3 linked regions of the Oryctolagus cuniculus genome follow. The protein of the gene in region 1 interacts with the protein of each later gene in a biochemical or structural test. Links are inferred from orthologs where the notes say so. Each region holds a gene or a part of one and is shown in the gene's direction. Other genes may lie near its edges.

What was found.
Region 2: the proteins of MYO6 (region 1) and TAX1BP1 form a complex in vitro, tested with the Homo sapiens proteins (5 studies listed by BioGRID, with this or other methods). The link is inferred for Oryctolagus cuniculus from reciprocal best matches to the Homo sapiens genes MYO6 and TAX1BP1.
Region 3: the proteins of MYO6 (region 1) and DAB2 form a complex in vitro, tested with the Homo sapiens proteins (7 studies listed by BioGRID). The link is inferred for Oryctolagus cuniculus from reciprocal best matches to the Homo sapiens genes MYO6 and DAB2.

The regions. Positions count from the first base shown.
Region 1 is NC_091436.1:96,517,308-96,520,874, reverse strand, and holds the end of MYO6 (unconventional myosin-VI), read left to right. Parts: intron 1-415; coding exon 416-634; intron 635-1,176; coding exon 1,177-1,376; 3' UTR 1,377-2,996; downstream 2,997-3,567. UniProt on the Homo sapiens protein: Myosins are actin-based motor molecules with ATPase activity. Unconventional myosins serve in intracellular movements. Myosin 6 is a reverse-direction motor protein that moves towards the minus-end of actin filaments.
Region 2 is NC_091447.1:19,317,264-19,321,494, forward strand, and holds the start of TAX1BP1 (tax1-binding protein 1), read left to right. Parts: upstream 1-1,429; 5' UTR 1,430-1,589; intron 1,590-2,116; exon of another isoform or gene 2,117-2,841; intron 2,842-4,231.
Region 3 is NC_091445.1:64,778,954-64,782,603, reverse strand, and holds part of DAB2 (disabled homolog 2), read left to right. Parts: intron 1-970; exon of another isoform or gene 971-1,052; intron 1,053-1,555; exon of another isoform or gene 1,556-1,691; intron 1,692-2,872; coding exon 2,873-3,526; intron 3,527-3,650. UniProt on the Homo sapiens protein: Adapter protein that functions as a clathrin-associated sorting protein (CLASP) required for clathrin-mediated endocytosis of selected cargo proteins.

The DNA.
Region 1 (3,567 bases):
TATTTTTTTTTATCATAAAACATCCAATAAGTTATGCTGTAACTTTCATTTAAACACTCAGGAGGAAAGATATAAATTGCATAAAAGAAGTTTGCTTTCCTGCTGTGTGAGTTTCTTGCCGGTTATTGATAGTCATTTGTGGTGATCTTGTAGGATGTACTGTTGTTGCTGTTGGTGGGGGTGGTATGTGTATGTGTTTGTGTGTTTGTAAGGCCTAAGAACATGTTTAGGGAAAGACAGAAAGAAAATATCACACTCTGAATTATATTCATTTAGAGGCAATTAATATTTACATTTTGTTTAAAATTTCCTGGTGAGTCCCTCTTGTTTTCCAAGTTCTTGGTTCATTTTAGGATTAGAGGCTGTGTTCTCTTCCCCGGTGCTGTGGTGTAACTTTCGTTGTTCTGTGTGATAGCTCAGCAGAACCCAGCAGCTCAGCTTCCTGCCAGGCAGCAGGAGATTGAAATGAACCGACAGCAGCGCTTCTTCCGCATCCCGTTCATCCGTCCTGCTGACCAGTACAAAGACCCCCAGAGTAAGAAGAAAGGCTGGTGGTATGCCCATTTCGATGGACCCTGGATTGCCAGGCAAATGGAACTGCATCCTGACAAGCCACCCATCCTTCTTGTGGCTGGTGTGTATGATTCACATGAAAATATGTATATGTATAAACCAAAAAAGGGGTATAAGCCCTCTAAACAAAACATTTTAATATGTAACGTAAGAATTCATTACGTTTCAGAGTTGAGGGATGGAGTTTTGTAGTTCAATCACATTTCCAAGTAATTGAGGACTAACTGATTTATAATGTGAAATGGCTTAGATTAATTATGTCCTTGCAGAGTGCATAAAGAGACTTCTCTGTGTCCTCAGAACCTTTTCACTGGTGTAATTATATCCAGTGATTTGTAATGGCTTCAGGAAGTGTAGCGTTTTTATTAATCCTGATAACTTGCTTTGTCAACTGAAGTGTTTATAAATTTTGGAAGGCTCTTTGATGGGGGACAAACCCAAGTTGCTTCTGGTGAATTTATTTATTAACATTAGATTTCCTCTAATAGAAAGGTAAGTTAGAAAGTTCTCAAGTCTGAGAGAACTGATAGCTATTTCAGTAATATTCACGAGGAATGTTTCTGGGAAGAGAGATGGTAACTTTCTGATGCCTGCTGTATGCAGGTAAAGATGACATGGAGATGTGTGAGCTGAATCTTGAAGAGACCGGCCTGACTCGAAAGCGTGGAGCTGAGATTTTGCCAAGACAGTTTGAAGAAATCTGGGAACGCTGTGGAGGCATCCAGTACCTTCAGAACGCGATTGAGAGCAGACAGGCCAGGCCCACGTATGCGACAGCTATGCTACAGAATCTGTTGAAGTAGATGCTGCACGCTCCCCTGACAACTGGGAGCCCTTGCCACAGTCCTGGGTGGGGTGTGTGCCCGAAAGATGTAACCCTTTCACGATCATGTTAGAATACTTAAACAAAGTGAACAGATTTTATTAATCATTGCCTTTTTGTTAATTTGTTTTAGGTTAATTAAGATTGTGATAGTGAATTTTGGACTTAAAAATCATTTTCCTGTATGCAGCTATGAGTCTTAGGCATCTCATTATTCTAATACTTGTTACACTTGGACAGATTCTGACATTTCTCTTCTTTTGCCAACAGCCTCCTCTAAGTCCATCCTAACTATTCTTTAGGAAAAGAGATTTTTTTTTTTTTAATGTAAGGTACTTGCTTTTTAAGGATGGCACAGTACCATATAACTGGAATAATGAAACCTTAGCTTAAATTTCTGACAAGAATTAAGGCGCTTAAAATGATCAAGGCACTAATGTTTCTGCTCTTAAAAGCTATCTATTTTTCTTTACTAACTTTTTCAAAAATTAATGAAGATTCTGACTTTTTTTCCTCTCTTTTGCATTATGTCTTGGTTTTTGTGAATCTCTCCTACCTAAGTTCTAGAATTCTAGAAAAGCCTTTATGTATCAGATACCTGAGTGTTAGGTGATAAAGGAGGTATTAATGGTATCCCACCCAGATTTGTGTTTCTTCTTGTGCTTTTTATATTCCATGGACAAATCAAAGAAATTCACATTGTTTAAATGTGTAAAAATTTTGAGATATATTTTGTATCTCAAAAAGAAAAGGAAAATAGGTTTTAGGTGGCACTGTGGCATAACTGGACTAACTGAATTAAAATAGTCTCTTCATTAGAATTTTTGTATCAGAATCTTGTCCAAGATGTTTCATACAATTTAAGTTGGTGTTCTGCTTCAGACATCTTTTTTTTTTTTTTTTTTTTTTTTTTTTTTTTTTTTTAATTCCTAGTGTCTCTTTTGGGCTTTGAGATTTTGTTAACTGTAGAGCTGTTTTATAAGCTTTATAATTCAAAAGCTCTTGTATTTAGTAATTGCTTGTTTCATGTAACTGATAATTTAAAAAAGTTGTCTTTGTGTGCTGTTAGTTTTGATCAAATGTCAGCGGTTTCAAACCTAATATTTATGAGTTTCATATTAGGAGATTAGGAACAAAATTACATCAAGGAGTTATGTGGGCATAATTCTAAGGAGACTTGTTTTATTCTAGAATAAAATTAGAGAGTAAAATTATTCTCCGCACCTTTCTTTCTAATTTTTAAAGACTCTAACCTTTGAAATGAAACTTCAGTAATTTCTTTTTCCTAGAAAGAATACCTCAGTTAGGAAAAGATTTCCCAGCTGATCAAATTAGTGTCTGTGAACCACAGACACTGTTTTCAGAGCTTCTCTCATCATATGTGTCTTAGTACAAAGATATTTATTTATTATGATGCAAATGATTATTTGTGTTAAAGAAATTAAATAGTCCTGTCTGTGATATTAATTGAGAATGTGAATGTGATTGCTCCCTGGAGGCTGTACTACTGCATTGACTTCCTTGCCCTTGGGTCATTTGGTCCCTGTGATTGGAGACAAGGTGTAGTTACTGAAATAAATGGTCTATTCTCTCTCTTTCATCCCTTGCTTTCATTGTTGTTTTTATTTGTGTAAGATTGGAAAATGATAAGCTTTGTTTTCTCACCAGTAACAAGTAAAGTCTTTTAAAAATTTAATTACTAAATTGATTTTAATGACTTGTTCTCTCAGTACTGTTTCCAGAAATAGTTTTATGAATCCTCTAGATACATTAAAAGGCACTAGATGAGAAATTAATCAAAAAGGTTAAAGTCATTATAATGAGAACTTTACGTTTCAAACAATTTCTAAAGAAATCTGTCATAGCAAAACACCGTTTATAAGCCTGTAGTTTTTGATTCTAATAATTAATAAAATTATAATCTTAAGCCATTTTGTTTCTAATTATGCCACATGGCTGTCCTAGAACTTACCCATTTAAAATAGTCTCCTGAGTTATAATGTTGGCTACCAGGAGATCTGCCCTAATTCAGACACACTTGGAATAACCTACATAGAGTAGCTGTGCATACACACCCAAGTCAGTTTGGTGGAAAAACTTAGATCTCTGTTAGCCTTTTCCAGTAAATTTCCGAAATGGTGTCCTAAAGGATGTTGATGTGGCTGCCTTAC
Region 2 (4,231 bases), on another chromosome or scaffold:
TCTATGCAAAATGTTTTCTTATAATGGTTTTTATGACCCATCTTGTTTTTCTGGTTTCATTAACTGAAATTGGTGGTAATTAGAAATTTATTACATGTAAATAAGTCATGTGATTTAAAAACACAGGATGACATCTCTGAAAAATTGTGTTTATAGAGTTCACTGCTCCGTTTACATTTCTTTAGGCACATGGTTATTTCCATTACTTAAAGGTCAGTACTTGCAGTGCTAGCGATTACTTATATTGAGTGTGTCAACTTTTTTTTTCATTCATAAAATAAGTAGGTTGGGACTAAATGACCTGTTGTGATTCTTCTGAAATTCTATGATCATGTACAATATACAGTACAAAACCTGGTTTAAAGATTTCAATATATAGGGAACAAATTAGCAAACACTGAGGTGCTACGGAAGCCAATGACATCTTCAACACGGTGAAGCAAAGCTGAAAGAGGATGCTGCATACTTTATAAGGTGCTTCAATGTTGAATGTGACCTAATTTCTTATCCTTTCTTCACGGGTGACATTGCACATTTTACCAGGGTTTTATGTCAGCGCAGGAATTTGATGCATTGGAGCAGAACACACCTGCTTTCGCGGAGTTATCATTCAAAGCCAAGCTTGCTGTAGGAAGGTAAGAAGTGTAACTGAAGTCAGCACAGTAGAAAGTTCACACGCACAGAACAGTACAAGTACCAAAAGCACTTCACAACAGACAGAAATGCGAGTGAAAGAAGAACTGCTGGAGCGAGAGCAAATGGACTCCGAGAGCGTCAGAACCGCAAAGCTCCTTGAGGGAGGCGAGCTGGTATGGGGCAAAACTTGGTAAAAAAAAGCACTTGTCCACACGGGCAGCCGGGAGACAGCCTCCGCGTTCTAGAACTGCAGCCCTGGCCCTGGGGTCGCTCCCTTCACTTTTCTGATTCTCTGCTGCTGCATCTAGAAAACAGGTGGATTCATTTAGACAGCTTAGGATCCGCTTGGTAACGACTCATAGACCTCCAGGCTACACTTTTCCACTTTGCCGGGAGGTCTATGAGCAAGTTAGAACTCCAAAATGTTTGTTAGGAAAAAAGTATTTACTGGTTAATTCTACGCACCTGCTGCAATCCCAACTGTAAACAGAGGACTGCAGTTTAAGAACGTGATGACTAGAAAAACAAGACCTGCTTACATCTCCAGTGTGTTTCCCCATTTCCTATGTTAAAGTAACAACTCTAAAGATTAAAAACGTAAATCGAAGTGGACCCGGTCTTGTTGCGACTAAGCAGCCGAGCGAAAACAATGAGACGCAACGCAACTGGGGTAGGGGTAGCCCGGCGGCGGTGTAAAGACCCTCCGGGACCCGCTCCAGGGTCGCCGCAGGCCTGGTGGGCGGCGAGCTGACGTGGAGGGGCGGGCCTAACCCGCGCGGCGGCGGAAGGACCCGCCCCACTGGCGGAAGTGACGTCGGCCGGAGCTGGCTCTGAGGGGAGGTGAGCCGGTCTGTGGAAGGAGGCGGTGGTGGCGGAAGAGGTTCGGTGGCTGATGGCGGCTCTGGGTCGGAAGCCTGTCTGACGTTGTCCGTCGGTCCGCAGGCTTTCCGGAGGTAAGGCGCCTTTCCCCGGTCCGCCTCAGCGCCTCGTGAGGGGCAGACCCCAACTGGAGCGCTCTGGGGGGCTCGTGCTACGCCCCTCAGACTCGCGTCTACGGGCCCGGCCGGTGTCGGCAATGGTTTCCGTGGTGACGCTGCTGCCAAATGACGATGCTTTCCCTTTCTGCAGTCACCCCTTCTCTCCCGGACTACGACTTGTGACGGCGGTGTGGGCAACTCGGGCCAGCCGGGGGGTTGGGAAAGCGACGGGCGGCCGCCCCGCGGGGGCGGGCAGGCCCGTGGGATAGGCCTTGGCGACCTGGGGGGCGCGTGTGGGACGGGGGCGACCCGCGGGGTGTCGGGGGAGACGGGCGGAACCTCTGGGGTCCGAGGCTCAGCTCCGGGGCGCGTGTCCTGAGGGCAGTATATGTGTGCGCGCCCGCGGCTAGGTGAGCTTGGTCGTGTCCCGAAAGGACGGCCGGGTTCGCCACTGCGGAGAGAAACCCAGCTGTTTTGGTTTGAGTCGCCCGTGGAGGAGGAGGCGGAGACTCGCGGTGCCGCCTACTTTTGCGGGCCGGGCGGAGCTAGCTGTCCGGGCCAGGTCGGCTGCTCACCCGGGCTGCGGGATCGGCCCGCTCTGCCCCCTCGCCTGGGGATCCAGCGGGGAGTCGCGTCTGTCTCTGCTTAGTCGCCTTGGCTTGCCCACTCCTAGCCGCTGCGGGTCCGCAGGTTGCGCACAAGTCCCGGCAGGCGTTCGTGAACCTGTTCGAGCCTGTGTGTGTTCGCCTTCCTGGTGAAAGTTGCTGGGATACGCTGTGGCGTTGCAGACTGATTTTTGGTTTCATGAAGTAGTTACGAATTGCTGTTGTGCTAAGGATGTAGATGGGGAAAATAAACCGTCCTTCTTCAAGTCTGCTTTCCGCTGATGGGAAAATTCCAGAGAACTGTGCCAGGACAGTTACTAATTATCGTTTTGGCTTTCAGTTCCAGAAGCCTTTAAAAAGATGCTTTGAATAACGTGTTAGTCTAAACGTGGGCCTTTCGTCCTCAAAGTGCCCTTCCAAGGTAGAGGGCTGAGGTCAGGCGCTCTCCTTTGTGCTTTCTTGAAGGATTATTTGATTATGCTAGGACGGACTTCTTATTACACTTCCCGGTTTTTTTGCAACTTGATCGTTAAACTTTAAAAAACATCCTATTGCAGTTCTTGTTTTTCTAGTCATCACGTTCTTAAACTGCAGTCCTCTGTTTACAGTTGGGATTGCAGCAGGTGCGTAGAATTAACCTTTTTCCTAACAAACATTTTGGAGTTCTAACTTGCAGCCTTTTAATAGGATGTTAAATATTAATGAAAGATTGTAACTTTGTTCCTGTACTTCTTTGGAGGAATTACTTAACATGCTTAGTTTACTGGAGTTGCATTCTTTTGGAATGGATACTATGTAAAATTTGGGCTTTATGCACTCTGATTTTTAAATATTTCGCCCCAAATAAGCTTTTAGAAGAACATAAAAATTCCCTAATATATATAAGTAAATATCACTGCATTTTAGAAACCAGTTTATTACATAAACTTGAAAAGTAAGTAAAAATGGTGTGGGTGAGGCCAGGCAGGGCCTGGGAGCACTTAGCTGTAAAGGATTCTGGAGACAGGGTCCTAGTGAGAGTGCAGATTAATAGACTGGAGACACCGCTTCTATCTCCAGAAGTTTGTTGTTAACATCATCTCTGAAGGAGAAGTCTATAAACCAGTTGATAATCTTTAAGTATGAGTAATTGGAGACCATTTGAATACCAGGCATTTTTTTCCCTTCATTCGTTTGTCCTATAGGACTGAAGTTTGGAGATGATTTTAAAGATTCATTATTTGTTTAAATGGGAGTTTTAAAAATTTTCCATAAAAACTCTCTCAACCACTAGCTGAATTCCAGCATTTTTAAAGGCACAAAGTGTTCATATTTTAAAATGCAGTGTATTGCAGTAGGTCATCTTTGGAGTTTTTATTACTAGTCTGTTTGATTTGCTTATTTGCTTTGCTTTTACTAACTTTATTTTGGAAATCTTCAAACATGTGAAAGGAGAATGAACTGTAAGAGGAGGCATATTTTGCTAATTTGTTTCATTACCTCCTCCAGTACCTTTGTTTTTTCACTTGAAGTTGTGCTTTCTCTCTCTAATGTCAGAGTGAGACCAAAAGTGAGTCCTCAAATTCCTGTGACAGATGGGACTGGGCCAGGCTCAACTCAGGAGCCAGGAACTCAATCCAGGTCTCCCACATGGGTGGCAGGAACTCAAATGTTCTGGCCATTGCCAGCTCCCTCACCCATCAGCAGGAAGCTGAAGTGGAAAATGGAATTAGACTGAAATTCATTGGCCCTTTAGCTGCTGTGCCAAATGTCTGCCCCTCCCTTGGAGTTTTTAGAGTCCCAGACCTTGACATTTCACTTAGTAGTAGTATAGTGTACTCTAACTGATCAAAACTTTAAAAAATAGAATCACCATAACCATATTATCCTGTATAACAAAATTGCTTATTTCTTGTTCAGTTTTAATTGTTAGGACTAAAGTAATTATCTAAATTAAAAAGATTAATTTGACTTTTTGTATTAAGTGCATTGAAGTTCTTCATGTATTCTATTTTCTTTATTTTTTAAAAAAAT
Region 3 (3,650 bases), on another chromosome or scaffold:
TGAGACTTTGACAATATGTTACATATTGACTCCATATTCATGGGTCACAAGTAGATATTTATCTTTTCTTGGTAAAATCAGCATGTTCAGAAATATTCAACTCATAACAACTACTCTGGAAGATGTGATAAGAGAGAGAACTCTAAATCACCCAGGTGCTATTAGTAGTTCCAGATGGCTGTCACTCCCCTCACCTTTATACAGGAAAGTTTCACACCTTTTAAATAATGCTCATGTTGCAAATTAAGTGACATCCCTTAGAACATAACTTTTATTGGAAAAATGTTTGGGCATTATCCTTCCACACTGTATCAAGAATGAAAGAGAAGGAGAAGAAAGGAGGGAGGAAGAGAGGGAGACAGTCTAAGAAAAGAGGGAGGGGGAAGGGAGAAAAAGACATAATCTCTACGTATAAACTTTCACCATGTGAGAGCACAGTTACTATGAGAAAACGGTGTGATGCATGAGCCATCACTAAGGAGATTAAATCTGGTACAAGGGATGGGATCAGGGCACAAAGTTCAAACATTGTGTGTACACTCGTCTATACTCCATAAGATGCCATGGAATGGGAACAGGTGAAGTTGAAAGATCAATGAGAAAAGATTGTGTAAAGAATCTGAATTTGAGTTGGGTCTTTGAAGGGTGTACGAAATGAGACAGTAATTAAGCTATAAACAACTTGGATTCTATTGTGAATCATTTTGGAAGTTGCCCTAATGAAGCTTGTTTTAATGTAAGGAGAAGTAGGAAGCCATCAAAGGCTTTGAGAAGGGAAGAGTTAGATTTCGCAGGCTTTGAGTGGTTAGTAGAGACTGGCTACCCAGAGAAGAGCTAGCTGTGGAAGTCAGAGTGACACATGCTGTTGCCTCCTGTACCCCTTCGTAAAACTCCTCAAGAGTAGAGTCTTTCACTTTCCAGTCTCCAGTGCCTGTCTCTCAGGTGTCCAAATGGTGGCCAAGCAGATGCAAGGATTGACAGTCCAATAAGGAATCCATGAAGCTCTGGTCAAGGGGAAAGGTGCGGAGGGTCTCACATCTTGCAGTTGCAGCCTGTGAAGTAGACTCTTAGTCTTGACTACCAACAAACCCAACCTGAGGAGAGCCTTATACATTTTACTTATAGGGTGACTATTCAGAAGTCTAACATTGTGCCTCCTGTTTGGTGTCCTAAGAACTTCTTCTCAAGTGTTTGAAAAGGAGAACTCTACCAGCTGTGAACACCCAACGGTTCTAACCCAGAGGTGGCTCATAACAAAGGAATAAATATTGAAATCACAAGCTTTTGTAAGATTGTATAAAGATATATGCATTAAGAGGTCTTCCAATCCCTGCCTTTGATTTTAAAAAAAAAGTTTAAATTATAAAGTCTTTCTAGTGACAAATTCTTCCTGTTATAAAGAAAAACTGGCTTTTAAGAATGTGTTTCTATGCCTCACAATAAAGGAAGCACAAAAATGTAATACAATTAGGTCTGATTTTTGCTGTTTCTAAACAAAAAGCGTTATTTTCTCTAAAAGCTGAGGAGGCCTGTTTGAGCCCTTTGTTGTACTTACCCGTTTTGAGAATCTCCTCTTTTCTTGAGGTTCGTTTTCTCCCAGTGATCAAAATATGTGCTACTCTGCAAGGGGTAATGTCAAATGTCTAGTCTAGATACTACTTCCAGTAGGGAGTTTTTATTGTCTGTATTCTTCTATGCTGAGCTTAATTAAATAGTTAATGGATCAAAGTCAGAGGAGCATTTGTGAGTATGAGAACTCTCCCACAGTGAGTCATACTGAGTTACGTCATAATTAGGAATCATGACATGCCAGATTCATCATATTGGTTGCTTTTATGCTAAGGATTTTTTTATCTAACAGTTGAGAAGCCAATTGACACACCAAAAAAATACTAGAGATGAAACAGGACATTTGATTTATCTTTCTAATTCACTTTTACATCCACATTTCTAATATATATAAATTAAAGATTAGTGATTCTTCAACTTTAGCCACTAAGTAGATGATATTACTGTCAAAACACAGGCCATTCTAAGCTCTGTTATGAAGAAAGTGCACACATAGGAGAGGTTGATGTGTGCTGGATTAGATTAGTATTTTGTGTTGATCTGATAGAAGGACGTAGACAAAAAGGATGTGTCCAGAGGAGAGACTCAGGCGGTAAGAATGAGAGATCCAGCTTAGCTAACACATTCCCTTGGAGTCTGAAATCTTTAAAGAGGTATACCTGTAGGTATAAAAGGATAATCATACTATTTTTCTTGGAAGAACTGGAACAGTTATAGGGAAATGTACTTGATCTTAAACTTCATCACATACCAGAACTATAAAATATGAATGTCTTAACCAATGAATTCTCTCAATTAGTGAGGCAATAGTACACTAGACTGTGAGGTTACAATAGGAAGATGTATACATCAGACAGGAAACTAGGCCAGGCTGCTCAGGTTACTTGTGATTTTCAAGCTTACCATACCTAGAGCAACTCACAATCCAGTCCCTTTAAGACTTTAAAAGGCATGAATTAAAACAATGCTGATAACAAACTCAGCCAGTCTGTATATGTGGACCAGAATAAGCAGAGACATTGAAGGAAACAACAGTAAGATTTCACTTAATAAAGGGCCAGAAAGCTGAGATTTAATAAAAACGAGACTTAATCAAGCAAGAAAGGGGCTGGGGGAGACCTGGTCTATGGCTGGTAAATGCACTCAGCAGATTGATGGGAGGAGGTAATGGTCAACCAGTTTGTCACAACCAAATTCTGGGAATGTTGATAGCCCTGGTCATCTTAAGTAGTTTTCTTGTTTGAAGTCATAACATGGACTAACACTTTCTTTCTTTTTTTTTTTTTCTTTCCAAATGTGATAGGAAAGCAAAGATATCCTGTTAGTGGATCTAAACTCTGAAATCGACACCAATCAGAATTCTTTAAGAGAAAATCCATTCTTAACAAATGGCATCACCTCCTGCTCTCTTCCTCGACCAAAGCCTCAGGCAACCTTTTTGCCTGAAAATGCCTTTTCTGCCAATCTCAACTTCTTTCCCACCCCTAATCCTGATCCTTTCCGTGATGATCCTTTTGCACAGTCCGACCAATCGACACCCTCTTCGTTTGATTCTCTCAAACCTCCAGATCAGAAGAAAGAGAATTTGAGTAGCTTGCCTGCTCCCCTGAGTAACGGGCCCCTGAATGGCGATGTTGATTACTTTGGTCAGCAATTTGACCAGATCTCTAACCGGACTGGCAAACAGGAATCTCAGGCAGGCCCATGGCCCTTTTCCAGTACGCAAACCCAGCCAGCAGTGAGAACTCACAATGGGGTATCTGAAAAAGAACAGAACGGCTTCCATATCCAATCCTCCCCGAACCCTTTTGTGGGAAGCCCTCCCCAAGGACAATCCGTACAGAATGGCGTAAAGCAGGACTTGGAAAGCCCTGTCCAGTCCTCACCACATGACTCCATAGCCATTATCCCACCTCCACAAAGTACCAAACCAGGAAGAGGCAGAAGGACTGCTAAGGTGAATTGTCTTCTCCACATATCCGTTAGCAGAGTGCATGTGCGGTACCAAAGGGTTGTGTGATGCAAGCTCTCTTTGCTGCCGCTCTCGTTTGCTGTGTGGCTGTGAGCTAGACGGAGGGACG